2 linked regions of the Neodiprion lecontei genome follow. The protein of the gene in region 1 purifies or fractionates together with the protein of each later gene. This does not show direct contact. Links are inferred from orthologs where the notes say so. Each region holds a gene or a part of one and is shown on either strand. Other genes may lie near its edges.

The links.
Region 2: the proteins of transcription factor IIIB 90 kDa subunit (region 1) and TATA-box-binding protein purify together in Drosophila melanogaster (affinity purification with mass spectrometry; 3 studies listed by BioGRID, with this or other methods). This does not show direct contact. The link is inferred for Neodiprion lecontei from reciprocal best matches to the Drosophila melanogaster genes Brf and Trf.

What each region holds. Positions count from the first base shown.
Region 1 is NC_060263.1:2,928,963-2,937,013, reverse strand, and holds the start of transcription factor IIIB 90 kDa subunit, read left to right. Parts: upstream 1-4,045; 5' UTR 4,046-4,263; intron 4,264-4,874; coding exon 4,875-5,085; intron 5,086-5,308; coding exon 5,309-5,393; intron 5,394-5,479; coding exon 5,480-5,616; intron 5,617-5,796; coding exon 5,797-5,901; intron 5,902-6,685; exon of another isoform or gene 6,686-7,325; coding exon of another isoform or gene 7,326-7,790; intron 7,791-8,051. Other genes in the region: developmentally-regulated GTP-binding protein 2, read left to right, coding at 1,246-1,309, 1,436-1,743, 1,819-2,249, 2,342-2,543, 2,626-2,712; BTB/POZ domain-containing protein 6, read right to left, coding at 7,326-7,790.
Region 2 is NC_060262.1:28,878,634-28,886,568, reverse strand, and holds TATA-box-binding protein, read right to left. Parts: upstream 5,279-7,935; 5' UTR 5,029-5,278; coding exon 4,930-5,028; intron 4,898-4,929; exon of another isoform or gene 4,852-4,897; coding exon 4,745-4,851; intron 4,384-4,744; coding exon 4,140-4,383; intron 3,886-4,139; coding exon 3,687-3,885; intron 3,475-3,686; coding exon 3,398-3,474; 3' UTR 2,808-3,397; downstream 1-2,807. Other genes in the region: uncharacterized protein LOC107220697, read left to right, coding at 1-12, 350-631, 1,517-1,609, 1,768-2,149, 2,315-2,502, 2,642-2,713; intraflagellar transport protein 52 homolog, read left to right, coding at 5,497-5,630, 5,778-5,995, 6,489-6,597, 6,714-6,996, 7,074-7,322, 7,466-7,735. UniProt on the Drosophila melanogaster protein: Acts as a transcription factor. Binds to the TATA box promoter element which lies close to the position of transcription initiation. May be essential for embryonic development.

The sequences.
Region 1 (8,051 bases):
GTGTAAAACTTCGGTGCAGGTATACGAAGAACACGCTGTGTTCGACAAAATCTAATCATTTTAAAACATATCTTATCCCTCAAGTGAGCAGCCCGTTATCGTATAAAATAATTCATGCAGCAGACGAAAGCTTTTTGCGAGAATCTCAGAGTTATTCGAGAAAGAATAATATCTCAATTTTCTACGTCTGTATAACAAATTGTACACAGCATTCGGGAGGGAGAAAACGATGAAAAAAAAAAAGAAACAAGTAAAACTTGAAGCTGAAGGAAATTTTACTTTTGCTTCTTCTTATACTTTATTCATTGGACCACCCGCCGAGATAATGGGATGCATATTTTATATGCAATTTATTCCAGGGATCTTGGATTCGGCGGCAAATTGCGCAACAATTTGATTTGCTGGCGCATGCGTTGGATCGATAATCGACCGGTAAAAGCGGAACCCGACATTCTCCACTTTTGACTCAATCTATGTCACTTCGCTAGTCAATGCCAATCTCTTCGGTCCACCCAGTGTTGCCAAAACTAAAGAAATTTATTTAAATCTAAAGAAATTAGAGTCCGTTCAAACGGTTCAGAGAAAAAAGAAAAGTTGTTTTCTTATTATAAACTATTGTCGCTTAGGCCAGATTCTGAGGAAAATCCGAAGATTTCTGGCGTAATCTCGAGACTGAAAGAAGCGAAATATCTAAATATGACTAAACATCGACAAATTGTGAGGTTCCCAAGAAAATATGCACAAATCAGATAGCGTCTACAATTTTCAAACGCACTTATTTGACATGTTAACGGTCCTAAATATTAAAAATAAAAACATATTATTTACATGAAAGTCCCGAATATCTTTATACTTACAATTCAGATTGTAGCATATAAATTTTTGAGTTGCCTCGCTCGTTAATTATTATTATATATTTATAGGAAAATTGTCCGTCTTGAAAATGAGAAACATGACGGATTATTGTGACGTTATTAAGACATCTGAAGAATTATTGTAGTGCCATTTAAAATAAGAAATCTGAAGAATTATTTTGGCGCCTTTTAAAGAAATATTCGTCCGATAGGTTGGCAACTCTGGATCTACCAAGTTCTTTTCCGATTTCGGGTAGTCTATGCTTGATTTACCGAATTGTAAATTATTCACGTGGGTCAGTGTGATTTTGAGTGAGCGCAGATTGTGTCGCCGTTAGTTGTAAATTCGTCGATGCGAAGACAAGCAGCTCAAAGCTGAGGGTAGCCAATCATGGGTATACTCGAAAAAATATCAGAAATCGAGAAAGAGATCGCTCGGACGCAAAAAAATAAGGGTTTGTTTCGGATTTGAGGTTATGTGTCTGCCAGCCGCAACGCCGTGACCGGCTCGGAGTCTGGGGATTTTGCATTTTTTCTAATTTTCTCAACCGTCGTTTAAAGGTCGATATTTGTTTTTACAGCGACGGAGTATCATCTCGGCCTATTGAAGGCAAAGTTAGCCAAGTATCGCTCCCAGTTATTAGAGCCGTCAAAGAAATCCGAAAAGGGGGAAGGGTTCGATGTACTGAAATCAGGAGATGCGCGGGTCGCCCTGATCGGTTTTCCCTCTGTGGGTAAATCCACTTTACTCAGCACCCTTACTCACACCGAATCCGAAGCTGCGTCCTACGAATTCACAACGCTTACGTGCATACCAGGTGTAATCGAATACAAGGGAGCAAACATACAACTTTTAGATTTGCCCGGTATCATCGAAGGTGCCGCTCAGGTATTGCCTAGAAAAATAAACACCGGCGATGTTTTCGCGTACATCGAGTTTTCTAATTCTTGGTAATTTTCCCAGGGAAAAGGAAGAGGGAGGCAAGTCATAGCCGTCGCAAGAACGGCAGATTTGGTATTGATGATGTTAGATGCGACGAAACAAGATGTACAACGACAATTATTAGAGAAAGAATTGGAGTCTGTTGGTATTAGACTGAACAAACAGAAACCCAATATATATTTTAAAATAAAGAAGGGTGGGGGGCTCTCGTTCAACTCTACTTGCCCACTGACTAAAGTTGACGAGAAGTTGGTCCAAATGATCTTACATGAGTATAAAATATTCAACGCTGAGGTATTGTTTCGCGAAGACTGCACTGCCGATGAGCTCATCGATGTTATCAATGCAAACAGAGTGTACCTACCCTGCCTGTACGTATACAATAAGATTGATCAAATATCTATAGAAGAAGTTGATAGAATCGCGAGGCAAAGCAACAGCGTCGTAGTTAGGTGAGTCAAGCATAGGATACTATCAGTTTTTGGAAAGCGTTCACGCGCAATTCCACCAACAAAACTTCTAAGCTAAAATACTCTTACGACAGTTGCAACATGAAATTGAATTTGGACTATTTGCTGGAGGTTCTGTGGGAATATTTGTCACTCATCAGGGTTTACACTAAAAAACCTGGTCAACCACCAGACTTTGATGATGGATTGATTTTACGGAAGGGAGTCACGGTCGAACATGTCTGTCACAGCATTCACCGGACTCTCGCTGAACAATTCAAATATGCTCTTGTTTGGGTAAGATTACCGGATGTAAAGTATGTTTAAAAATGACGAGATATTTACCACCTCTAAACTTCGATGAACATTCTCTTTGCAGGGCACGAGCACAAAATACTCACCCCAAAGGGTAGGATTGCAACATGTGATGCATGACGAAGATGTGATACAAGTGCTCAAAAAATAAATCAATGCAAATACTTTGGTTTGACTAATATACCATAGTATAATATACTAATGATGATGGTGAACGATATTATCAGCTTCGCAAAGCCTAATGTATATTTTATATATTCTAAAAATAAGCAATCCACAAAATGGATGAAATAACGTCACTTTTTGGGGTATAAATATCCAAGCTATAAAAAATTATGCGACACATTATTTCAATGTCAATTCTTTCTTCCTCAAGTATCCACGAATTTAGTTGACTTATTACATCGTTTTTAATAAAATTGTACTGTTAATGGATTGATAAGAAACATTCTCGTCTTTTAACGTTGTTCGAATGAAAATACTTGCTTCATTATTTGGAAAAAAAAATGGCATCCCCACACCCATTATGCCAGTCTCCGTATTATTTATGAACTTATCCGACCATGGCGAACCTTTTTTTGTCCACTGCAGGTCTTGTCGTTTGTCCTTTGCACCAAAGTTACCGACCCCAATCAAATTTCTTCAGATCTAATGTATTTTGATGTCCGCCAAAGCAAAAAGAAAAAGAATTCTTTTCAAGAATTGTGGTAATTTATATCGAAATCTAAAGAAACTTTATCACTTTTAAAGAATTTTTCTTCCTGATTCCAAATTCCTACATTTTTAATTTCCTATTCCAATTTTTTCTAATTGTTTGGAATTTGTTGTAATATCGGTATTTAACTTAAGAAAACAAGGCGGGTGAGTCGATATATAACTGAATAAAACTCGAGATATGCTTCGGTGATTTGGAGTTTCAATTTGAGTCACTTCGGGTTCATCTGTGCTATTTTTCCAAATTTTCGCTCATAGTTTCAATTTTTCCGAATTTTGTTATTAGATTGACCAGTTTTGTTAGTTTTCATACACATTTCAAATGAAAATTAATACAAATCGTTCCCGCGCTTAGAGCATATACTACTAGAGGTAGAGCTATCTAAGATGATGTCACAGAAATGTAACATGACGCCCATGAATGCGACAACTGATTTCACGTAAATAGATTACTTGAAGTTATTTATTTCCATATATTCTGCTTACTGATAGTGCCAGTATGTGCATTCAAAAGTTGCAAAAATAATAACATAAACACTAAAGGATAAAATATAAAATTTTTATCTTTCCCAACAGAGGATAATTACGTTCATGTTAATTACGTTTGAATTTGGCGCTTATAAAGTTCGAAAAATCATGCATGTATGTATGCCAACCAAAGAAATCTAAAGAAATTTCGACCTCCGTCCAACGCTTCGTCCACTCCATGGATTTCCGGTCGGATTTCGCTTCGGCGGTTGGCAAGGCCGATTTGAACGGTCGATTTTATCGTAGGAGTTGCGATTGTGAGTCAGTGTGAGTATCGCAGCACCGTAGAGTGGATATATGTACAAGAAGTGATACTGCTTCGTCGGATAACAACAGCGGAATTCTTCGTGCGGTGATTCTTTCGCTGCACCACTTTGGTTTCATAATATAACGATTATCCACAGCGTCAGCGAGCGTCATTCGTACCTATAAACGGTCAAACGCACGACACTAATTCAAGGTTAGCTGTTGCACAATAATAATGTACCCAAAGGCAGTTATTTGTATTGTAGGTTAGCTGCCAATGAATGTTTAAGCTTAATTATACATGCCTGTAATTAGCATGAATTTGACATTGCGATCCTTACAATTCTGTCACATTTACTTCCATTTGTCTTGATATTTTGCATTTTCATCAATGCGCCAAACTGACCCCGCAGCTGTAATTCTGATTTGTTTGACAGCTACGTCAATGCTTCGTTGAATTTTTCACTTCATCGTACATTTGGAATTGATTTCTTTACGAGAAAAATTCCCATTTATTGTATTTAATTATTGAAATAAGAAACCTCAGCTGAAAAGAATACCAAAAATTATCGTAAAAAAGACCAATTATGATGAGCCGACAGACATCGGAGAAAGAGACCTGATATTTATAATAATATAGATATTATTATGTGCCTTATAATCCCTATAATCCTATTTATCCCTGTATGATTAACTTTGTAATTTTACTTACAGGTGTAACTTTACTTTACTGGTTAAATAAACATCAAATATCAAATTTGGTAAAAGTGTCGATAATATTTTAACCAGAGAACTGTTAATAATCACAGTGTCGTTTTGTTTCAGATGTCGGGCAGCAAGTGCCGCAATTGCGGATCTACGGATATAGAAACCGATCCAGCACGCGGAGACGCAGTTTGTACACAATGTGGTTCTGTCCTCGAGGATCAGCTGATAGTCAGCGAAACAGCTTTCGAGGAAACTGCGACTGGGAATATTATGCTTGCCCAGTTTGTAGCCAGCGACAGTGCCGGCGGTGCAACAAGTTTTGGTGCAGGTATGCCTAAATATTCTGCCTACTTTCGTGGTTACTTGAATCAGGCGAATACACTCGTCCGAGATTCAGCTATGCATATCACTGAGCTGTTAATCAATATTACGAGTGTATAACTAAGAAGATACGTACCTGTGATCTTGTGAAATTAGTGACAAATTTTAAGTAATTCTGTCATCTCGTTATACACACTCACAGTTTAACGCAATTCTATCGCCAATTGTAGCCTACCATGTGAGCGGTAAAGAATCTCGGGAAGTCACTATACAAAATGCGAGGAAAGGCATAACAAATCTCTGTACTCAGCTAAGGTGAGAATATTTTTGTGCAAATAAGTATCTAATCGATACATTCATATACTTTGAATGAATCTGTGACGACTTTATCCAATACCTAGGTTAAATCAACACTGCGTCGATACTGCTGTAAATTTTTATAAAATGGCATTGAGTCGTCATTTAACCAGGGGTCGGAAACAGGAACACAATCATGCAGCTTGCGTTTACATTACATGTCGCACCGAGGGAACAGCACGTATCCTTTTCAGAACAAACCTATCATAAGTATGATTCGTGCAGAATAGCTGCGTAAACTCATTCGAAATGTTGAGAATATCTAAATATTTGATACTCATGAATTTTATTAAGATTAAAAATTATTTCTAGAAACTTCTCTGCGATATGAAAAAATCTTTTTCCTTAATAACAGATTTAGATATGTTAATTGATATTAGCGATGTACTACAAATTTGCGTTTACGAATTGGGACGGACATATTTGAGATTCACTCAGGCGTTATGCATCAACATTCCTTCAATGGGTAAGTTTGATCTTATCTCATTATAGTTTATTTTTATATTCGGTGATTATCATGTGTTGGATGGAAATGGGGAAAAATGTAGGAATAACGATACATCGAGTTTAATATTTTATGTGTTTATAGTATGAAATAACAATTTACATATTAGAAATGATAAATTTCTATACACGTGAAATGGCAGAAGCAGATCTAACAATATAACTCATTATTCCAACAATATTTGAATAGTATAAGAAAGTGCCTGCAGCCTAGGTGCTGATACGTATAAAACGTAACTATATATTCTTCTCATACAGAGATCTACGGGGTTTAATTTTTTCTTTTTTCTCCTCTCTTCTATTAATAGGCTAGTAGTTTATAATATCTCATACATGTCAAATTCTATGAAGATTTCGCACTTGTTGCGTAAGAAATTTTACAACCTTCGATACAACGTGTTCAAAGTGAATAGTTTTTACATCTTATTCGAGACAAGATATCATAGCATGGTGCAATCTTAATCTGACTATCACAATGAATGTTAGTGGTTGTACTCCAAGTATATAGTTATACAAGTAAGTGCTGACTATTTTCCAACTTTGGCTTAGGTGCCGAATTTAATAAAAATTGTATTAAAATTGTCACCACTGAATCATCGATATATATATATATATATATATATATATATGTGTGTGTGTGTGTGTGTGTGTGTGTGTGTGTGTGTGTGTGTGTGTGTGTGTGTGTGTACATATAGTATATATATATATATATATATATATATATATATATATATATATATATATATGTGTGTGTGTGTGTGTGTGTGTGTGTGTGTGTGTGTGTGTGTGTGTGTGTATATAAATATAGTATATATATACATATACAAACTTATTCAGAATAAAGTAATAAAACACTAAATCAGGAGCATAGTTTTTGTCATGACTTGTGCGTTGCTTAAAAGGTGAAGAAAAATTGAAATTTTCTCTGTTCTCTTCTATTTCACATTTGAAATTACAAGTTGATAATATTATTTGATACCGTTGCCGTGAATAAAGAATTCGATAAAATAACATTTTTTTTCTCCAGTATTTAATATTTTAAATTTAACAATGAAATCGTGAGAATGATATTTCCTAACAAGCTACACTATTTTACACTTTATAAAAGTGACGAAAACTAAATCTGGGATAATATTATCTTAGCGGTGGTCTATCTCCATGTGTAATTATAATTTTACTCATAATTGTTATTTTCACTGCAATAAGTAAAGTGAGAATAACTTTTATACATAATAAATATGGGATGTAATATCAATGTCCGATATTCAACAGCTCCCCTCAGCGCAGTGTCAATAGGAAATGGGAGCGGTAAAACCATTAGTGAGAAACATTATTGATAGTTATTGCAACGGGTAATTACACCATTGTCTCTGGGATAAAGTTACGTCAATCATCTGTAGGGGGTCCATAAAATATAAGTTCAGGAATTTGACCTCCCTGAACTCCAGTCCCATTTGTACTTTCTGAGCTGCATTGGAATTGAAAATTAACACTGCCAATGGTTGCTTCCGACATCCCTTCTTGACCAAAGTAGCTCAGTTCACCACCGTCCAATATTGCGCTTGCGGTATAAAAACACTCAGGTTCTATTTGAATAGGATTTTCGAAGTACACGTGAAAAGTATTGCTCGAACCGTCGGAAAAGAATTTCGTATTATTTTCCGATAATACACGGCCCAATCTTTTCAATTCTATTTTAACGTTATAGTCAGCCGCTCCTGATGAACTTCCGTATAAACCAAAACCAACAACAAAAATTCGCTTATCGACGCTAAACTGAATCGAATCGCATCTCCCTCTGTAGCGCCATTGATTAGATCTGTATGCACACGACTGAAACCTGTGGCAGACCTGAAAAGAGATAATAATTGGTGTTTTGATAGCGTTTACATTCGTCAGGCATATAAGAAGGATAAGAGCGAATATTTGTTAGTGATAGAACTCGGGGTGTATCGATTTTAGCAGCGAGAGAATTTTATTCAATTTTTTATCGCTTTAAAGATGTGAAAATTCGAAAGTTTCTCATAATTTTAAAATGATTTATTTAATCGAAAACCACAGCGCTCTTAATCTCTGAAATGATATCGATTATTTTCAGCAAAGGTCGTTTTG
Region 2 (7,935 bases), on another chromosome or scaffold:
ACAGCCGCGAAGGTACGATAAACCGGAATAATCGATATTACTAATGGTACGATCATTAAATTACTGATTACGTTGTACGTATAATACATTATATAAGCCTACGCATATCTCGACATTGTTAGACCAGGTAGTTACAAGCCTAACTGATTATCTTTCAACGGCTTTCTACAGAACGTAATTTCGAAACCATTGTGCTTTTGAGTGCTAAAAAAGTATCGTGCGCACTCGACACCTTCGATACTCCAGAGTCGGTTTTTTGAGCATGAGCCTCGTAATCGTCGTCTAGGATACGAGGGGTAAGCATGTTAATTCAGTAAAGGTGGTAAACGGTAAATGATGTAATCGTTAGCTGGAAGCACAGCTAATAATCAGCGCTGCCGAAGACGAATCGCAGCCAGCGAGTCTCTCCCGAGGTGTTGCGTTCAAACGAGCCACTGACGTCGACCGCTGTTTTGTATCTACGCAGATCAATACTTCAGTTCTCGAAGCTTGGCGCCACCGGACCCACCAGACTCTGATCCAAAATAGAACTTTATCTGACGAACTTGACGTGAGCGTGAGAGCGAACTGGACGAGCAAGGAACCCTCTTCAAGAACATTTTCAGGACTATATCCTGTCAGCATTCGTCAGGTTAGTGGCACGCGCTGACATCGATGTTCCTCGAAATTTAACACTCCATTTTGTTCGTTAGTAGTGTATACACGCAGAAATGGGACATTTTTTTTCTCAGTAGAAACAACTGGTGCAACAAGTCAGATATAAAAATTGCCCACAACACCATTACATAGTATTTCTGAAAATTCATTACACTTGCAAATTAAGCTAAAGACTCTCGTTACCCCTATAAATATGATTTGATTTATTATTGGAACTCAGTATCGGGTAGATCGATTATCTTCAAACGATACGTTCGGCACCATATCGTTCAAAGAGGGCAGAGGGTAACATATGTGATGTTGATCGGAAAGATTGTGTGTTTAAATTCTCAGGACACCGTTACAAGGACAATATCCGTGTATTCCTATTACAATTATTGATTCGGGCAGAAAGTCGAGCATGAGATCAATATCGGTTGGCTCTAAGCAATGAACACACGTTGAACACATGTTCAACCGAGAAATAAGGAGCAGTTTAATCTGGAAGAATCGTTTATTAAAAAATGTCATTAATCGAACTAACGCACAATGGAAAAGCTCATTATTCAGAACACTAAAGTTATTAACGCATAAGGAAATATGATGGAAAAATTTTTTATTATACAATGTTAGAACGACTTTCAAGGAGTTGGCTTGTCGAATTATGAACATGTTTTCTGTGTCACGATTTACTAACTGAATTTTCGACAATCCTAAGGATCGTTAAAGTCACGTTACTATAACTTCAACTTCGTTATCATTTATGATATTTGACTCTTTTATTCACTCAATTACTACCTGCAGTACCAAATTAGTAACATTTAAATTGAATAAAATGATATTCATTGGAATCAATCATTACAATTGATTTTACTTCCAGCTAGGCATGACTTCGAATATGCATCACGTCATTTTACTGCTTTCGGCAGTCGTCCTGAGCAGTGCATCGATGCAATACATGCCACCTCTCAAGGTAGATGAAAATTTATTCACTTTAAGATTATTTCGCGTTACGTACTTACTTATGAAACATAAGTGGCGAAACTCCTTGGTGATTTCAACACGCTTTTAAAGTTTTCTGTGCACCGCATTGCGGATCTAATTCTATAAAAAATTTCCGTTTTAAAACAGCAAGAACATTTATTCACCGACATCCTTCTTCGAGAATTGGTGGACCGTATGGGTAACGAATTTGTCGACGTTCCCGAGAACTACATGGATTTCCCTTACGATTCGCGGTTGCAAAACGAGTATGAAAAAGTGAAAGAAATTCCGGCGGACATTTCACTCGATTATGAGGGTATTGACACCCCAAACCCGAACCCCAGCATCCGTGATCAGGAATATCTGCAACATAGCTCATTATGGAGTCACCAACGTCTGAACAATAACAACGGTAATGACAGGCACAGGATTCAAGCTGCCGGTTTGAAGGGTATTAAGGACGAAAAAACTGAGACCAATTTGCCCGCCTATTGCACTCCACCAAACCCCTGTCCCATTGGCTATACAAGTAAGTCAAAATCGATGTTTAGATGGTTCTATAATATTTAGATTCCTACTTAGTGTTTTCCGATATGGTAGTTAAATTTTTTACTTGACGGTCAATTTTCAAGAATTATATTATTAATCAAATAGATGTTACAGCCCGTTTAAGGAAGTAATGTTTCACACACAGGTGTCGATCATTGCATAACAAATTTTGAAAATACCGCTGCATTCAGTCGTGATTACCAGAGTGCTCAAGACTGTATGTGCGACAAGGAACACATGGTGGATTGCACCAGTGGATCAGAGAATAACGACGGCCTTTCAAACATGCACATCTCGAATTCAGATTTCGACCAAATTGTCGAACAGTTCCAAGTACTTATTTCTATTCTGTATTGCTATGAAAATATGGAATTACCGATTTCTTTCATTTTTTATCACAGTTTGAACAGTAGAAGAACGGTCTTTTTCTCCATATCTCACTTTTCCTGACTGTGCATAATTTTTGTTGCAGCATGAAAATCCTTTCTTCCAAGGGGAGAAGCTGCCTATTGCGGCTAAGAAGGGCATTAACGTTGGTTATTAATTAATTAATAAAAACGTTATCCTCGATCCAACGCCCTAAGCGGTAAAACGTCCTGAGGAAAAATTATTATCACTAGATAAAATATTTTGAACGATTTATTATTACACATACATGTGCATTGAATGGTAGATGGTGTAACACTATCGAAAGAATTAAGATAAATCCGGTAAACGCGTGCAAACATTCGGACACAATTTTATCGCGAAAGAATCATTTTGCTGTTGGAACGGAAATATTTAATTCTAACGCGAAAGAAGCACACAATATTCAGAATCCAACATTTCATCTCGCTGGATTATGTTACTCTAAATAAATTTCCTGACATAAATTATATACTTTTATGGAAATAGATTATTATAAAGAAGAAGAGTACTGATTTATCAATAGAATATATTTTATTACGTTTCTCAATCGCATTTTATTTTGATATCGAGTATTACAGCTAATGTATTTTTATTTCCCAAGTTGAGAAAATATATATTTTAAAACAGTTGACACACCTGCGTCATCTTCCGTGTATTCGACTTTAATTTCTCTCGTACAACCTGTTCTACTGAAGAAAAAGTACAATAATCCACGCGATTTTATAATAAATAATCACAGATTTATTCCATTGATTGTAATGTACAAAAATTTATTCTATGATTAACAACTTGGCCACAATAGCCTCTGGCTATGGGCATATTACTGTTTTCTAAAACTCTTTAAAATTGGATGTATATTTGTTAAAGCATCTTGTAATTCCGCACGACTCTTGGCACCTGAAAGTATAGTAAAGGACTTTTTATCAACAGTTTATTTGTGAATATGTTTATGATTCGCTGATCGATGCCTTGTAATGCTTCTTGCGTAAAGCTAATACGTAAATTAACCGTTTTTAGGAAAAATTAAAAACTATATAAGAACGGGCTTGCAAGTAAAATGCTTTGTCTACTATAGTAATGATGCAATGTTGAAATTCAAGCATACCCACCAGTTAGTACAATCTTCCCATTGACAAATATCAAGAGTACAACTCTTGGCAAGACCATGCGATAAACCAAACCAGGGAATAGCTCTGGTTCGTAACTAGAAAACTGTCCGTGCATGTGATTTAAGTTTTCCAACTTGATGGGAAACTTCAAGTCGCACGTTGCAACAATATTATGAACTTTGAAGTTCATGAACTTTACCTAAAATATTGATGGCACACTGTTCAGTACAAAAAATAGACAAATCTTACATTCCAGTGTTCAGTGAATAAAACCTCATTATTACAAATTTAACGTAACCTGCTTCAAACGAAAAGATCATTCTGAAGAGGAAAAGTATTCCAATTCTGCAAGCCCATTAGATTCTGTATGATTGAACATTTGATGTAATAAGCAGTTGCACTGTGATCGGTTCATAGAAAAATTTTCGCGCCTACTTAAAACAAAATACTTACAGCAAATCCTAATTTCTGTATTATTCTGGCAAACTTTCTGGCTGCTAGATATGAATCTTCTTCACACCGTGCTCCAGTGCAAACCAATTTACCAGATCTAAATATAAGAGCTGTTGTTTTTGGTTCTCGTATTCGCATGATCAGCCCGGTGAAACGTGCAGGGTTGTATTCCGAATTTCTCGTTCTAGTATTTATATACATGAGTTTTAATTCCATTCCTAAATTAACTGTTGATACTATATTTCTGTGAACAAAGAACAACGAATGCAATGTTGATTATTCAATCTCATTATGGGAGTGAAAAACTTGGATAAAAGTTTAAAAGTACCATTAATATTATGTATAAAAAACAAGTATACACACGTATACATAGTTTGTGTATAACAAACCGAAGAAGATAGTTGCATGAACACCTAGTCACGTCAGGTGAATGAAACTCGGTTCGTTTTGTATCTGCTGCTAGTTTAACTAACTATTTCAATCAATGCTAAATAAGTATAGTACAAATTTTCGGTGCATTACAGAATTCTAATTTGCAAATTGAAAGATCGTATTATCGAATACGAAAAAATGTATGAACTAACCAGGTGGTACGATATACTCACTGCAAACGCGGTTGAAGTACCTCCTTTTTACTAAAGGCAGGTAGCATGGGATTCATTGCTGACTGTGGATTAACATTTTGAGACGTACTCGGCCGTGGAACGTTCGTCTACACCAGAAAAATTGACCGATAATAAACAAACAAGTGTCAAAAGGTAACCTGTAGGAAACATATTTGGACACTTACCGAAAGCGGAGGCGCCATAGAGGCGTCATCCGTGACATTTTTAGCTGGATTGTTTAACAGTTTTTTCAACTCATTGTCAGTTTGAGTTGCAGAACTCATTTTATCTCAAATTAAGAACTCAACATCCGCAGTCCGCGACGGACAGTTTACACTACAACACCACACGTTGTCACCCGATCGAACGAACCTAACCTTGCATCGCTCATGCCATCTAAGGCGTTGCCATGGATACTTCGTGATTCTTTACGCGTGGTCCGCAACGGATCTTTTTAAGCTCATATAATGTACGAACACTTCTGCCGTAGACGAAATCGATCATAGACGCGACACCCTATGGTCAATCGGACCCTACGTGAAGAATCATGAAGGCGCGTCGTTATTTGATTATTTGATAAGTTGTCATAAGGGTTGCCCGTAGCAACGATAGTACCGTAACGTTTGCTCAAGTATTTCAGACTGACCAAACGATTAATGACAATTATTGTCCCGAGGTGAAGTTCGGAACACCGACACTTTCGTACATATTTCATATTTATTCAGCAGCGAAAAGTATCACGAACGAATAATATGACTACTGCCCATTCCACTGCCGATTCAAATGTTAACGTTATAATATTTGACGCTTCAAAAAATGAGCGGAGGTTGAACGAGGAATTTAAAGTTCTTCAGAGAAAGTTGAAACCGAAATGGAAGTTTATAGAGTGAGTTGAGAACAATTTCATTACACTGCAATATAGTTGATTATATGTACCTACACATTTTCAATCTTGTCTGAATACAGTAAATCGGAAACAAATCAGATCGGCTCTAGGAAAAAAAGCATTCAACGGTGTTAAAATTGTTTGTAGAAACAACGACGTCCTATCGCAAGAATCGCTAACTACTGGCAAGGTCTTAGTATTGCCAGGCCCTCGCAGCAAATTCACCGAACTCGAAATGAACGCTATCAGAACGTTCATAAATTCTGGAGGAAACGTATTGGTCATGCTTGGCGAAGGTGGAGAAAATAAATTCAATACGAATATCAACTTTTTGTTGGAGGAATTTGGAATTATGGTGAATAATGGTGAGGCGCAAATTTGAATTGATACAGTTTTGTAAATCACATATCTAGCAGTTAAAACTACATTTATAGGCAATCATATTTGAAATAATCATAATTGTCGTCTCATGTGAAGTAATTTCACTAACTTATTGTTTATTTGCTTCTATAATGAATGTATAATTAATTCCATTTACCCTTTCTTCATATGAAGATTTGCAAATGTAGAGAAATTTTATACAATACTTTTAGATGATAAAAAAAATATTTTTTTTTAGCCGTAACAGTATCAGCTAACAGTCCGTATTATGCTCCGTTTCAGAGTATAAATTATAAATCGTTATTTAGACACAGTCAGAAAATATTCTAATATATTATGTACATACGCAAGAAAGTATAGTGACATTAATTGTAATCGCTAAGATATCATACGAAAATTGTCCTCCTAGATAAAAGGAGGGCCATTAAAGAAGAACCCAAGAACGAATACAATTTGAAATGTTCAAAAAATTTTCAGATAGTGTGGTCAGAATGAATTACAGTCAAACATTTCATCCGAAGGAATGTGTCATATCAGAAGGATTGTCAAATAAATCAGTTTTCGTGAAAAATCGCGACGAGTACACGTGAGTAATAAAGACGTCATACTACAATAACTCTTGGTTTTAAAATTGAACCATTTTCCGTATCATACAGCTATACTGACTTTAATTGCAATGATTATAATTAATCGAATATTCAGAGGTTTGAAGTACTTGTATCCATACGGGGCAACTTTGAATGTAGTACAACCATCCAGTGTGACTCTATCGAGTGGGGCAGTTGCTATACCAACAAATAGACCAATTTGTGCTTACTACTCGTCAAAATCGAACGGCGGTAAATTGGTTGTCTTGGGCTCGTCGAGAATGCTGACGGACAGTTACATAGAGAAAGAAAGAAATGACCAATTTAGGGAAATGTTGTTTGAATTCTTTAGTTCTGACGAAGTAACTGTGAAACACACGCAACCCGATGATATTGATGTGAGACTCTCCTGTTTACTCGCGATCTGAATTTATTCATCATCAAAACTTACACATAATGAAAATGATTTTTACAGTATTGGGAGTACAATTTTGTTCCGGATACAACTCAGCAAGCGGACATCCCAAAAGTTTGCACCCAAGAATTAGACAACATTGAAATACCACGAGAATACACCAAGTTGTTCAAACAACACTTTTACTCCATACATTTGAATATGATTCCTGCATGTATCAAGGCATATGAAGTTTTAGGGGTGAAAAAGCAGCCGTTGACGTTAATTACCCCCCAGTTCGAGACCCCTTTACCACCAACACAGGCATCGGTGAGACATTGGCTGAAACATTACGTTGATAACTGATCTAAAGAAGTCAGAGAATCCTAACTAATTTATTTCAACTGATGCAAATATCAGAATACATCCTGCTGATGTTTTCTGAATATCGATTGAAAATGCTTGATCCACAGGTCTTCCCACCGAGTTTTCAAGAACTTCCACCACCAGCTTTAGAATTGTATGACTTAGACGAAGCCTTCAGTTCTGATTTGCTAAAATTATCTCAACTTTCCAATAAATACTTGGCTAATAAAAATCAATCAAATGAAATGGAGTTGGACTACTATATAAGAGAATTTGGAGGAATAATACGAATACCTAATGCAGAATCGTGTACGGCTAAAGAAGTGTTGAACAATATTTTCCAAAAATTAGCTAATTTCAAAAAAGTACATACTTAATTACTTAACCAATTATCAATACAATCAACAAACAATTACCGTGTATATACATTGCAATAAAATCTCAACAATACACTTATAAATATAAGCTACTAATAATTCAATTATCTTAAATACTTTCGTTCGTACCAGATATTGTTTCCATATTTTCAATTTCGAAAACAGAGGAATTGTTTTTGTGTGCCACCTAGGTGACGAAG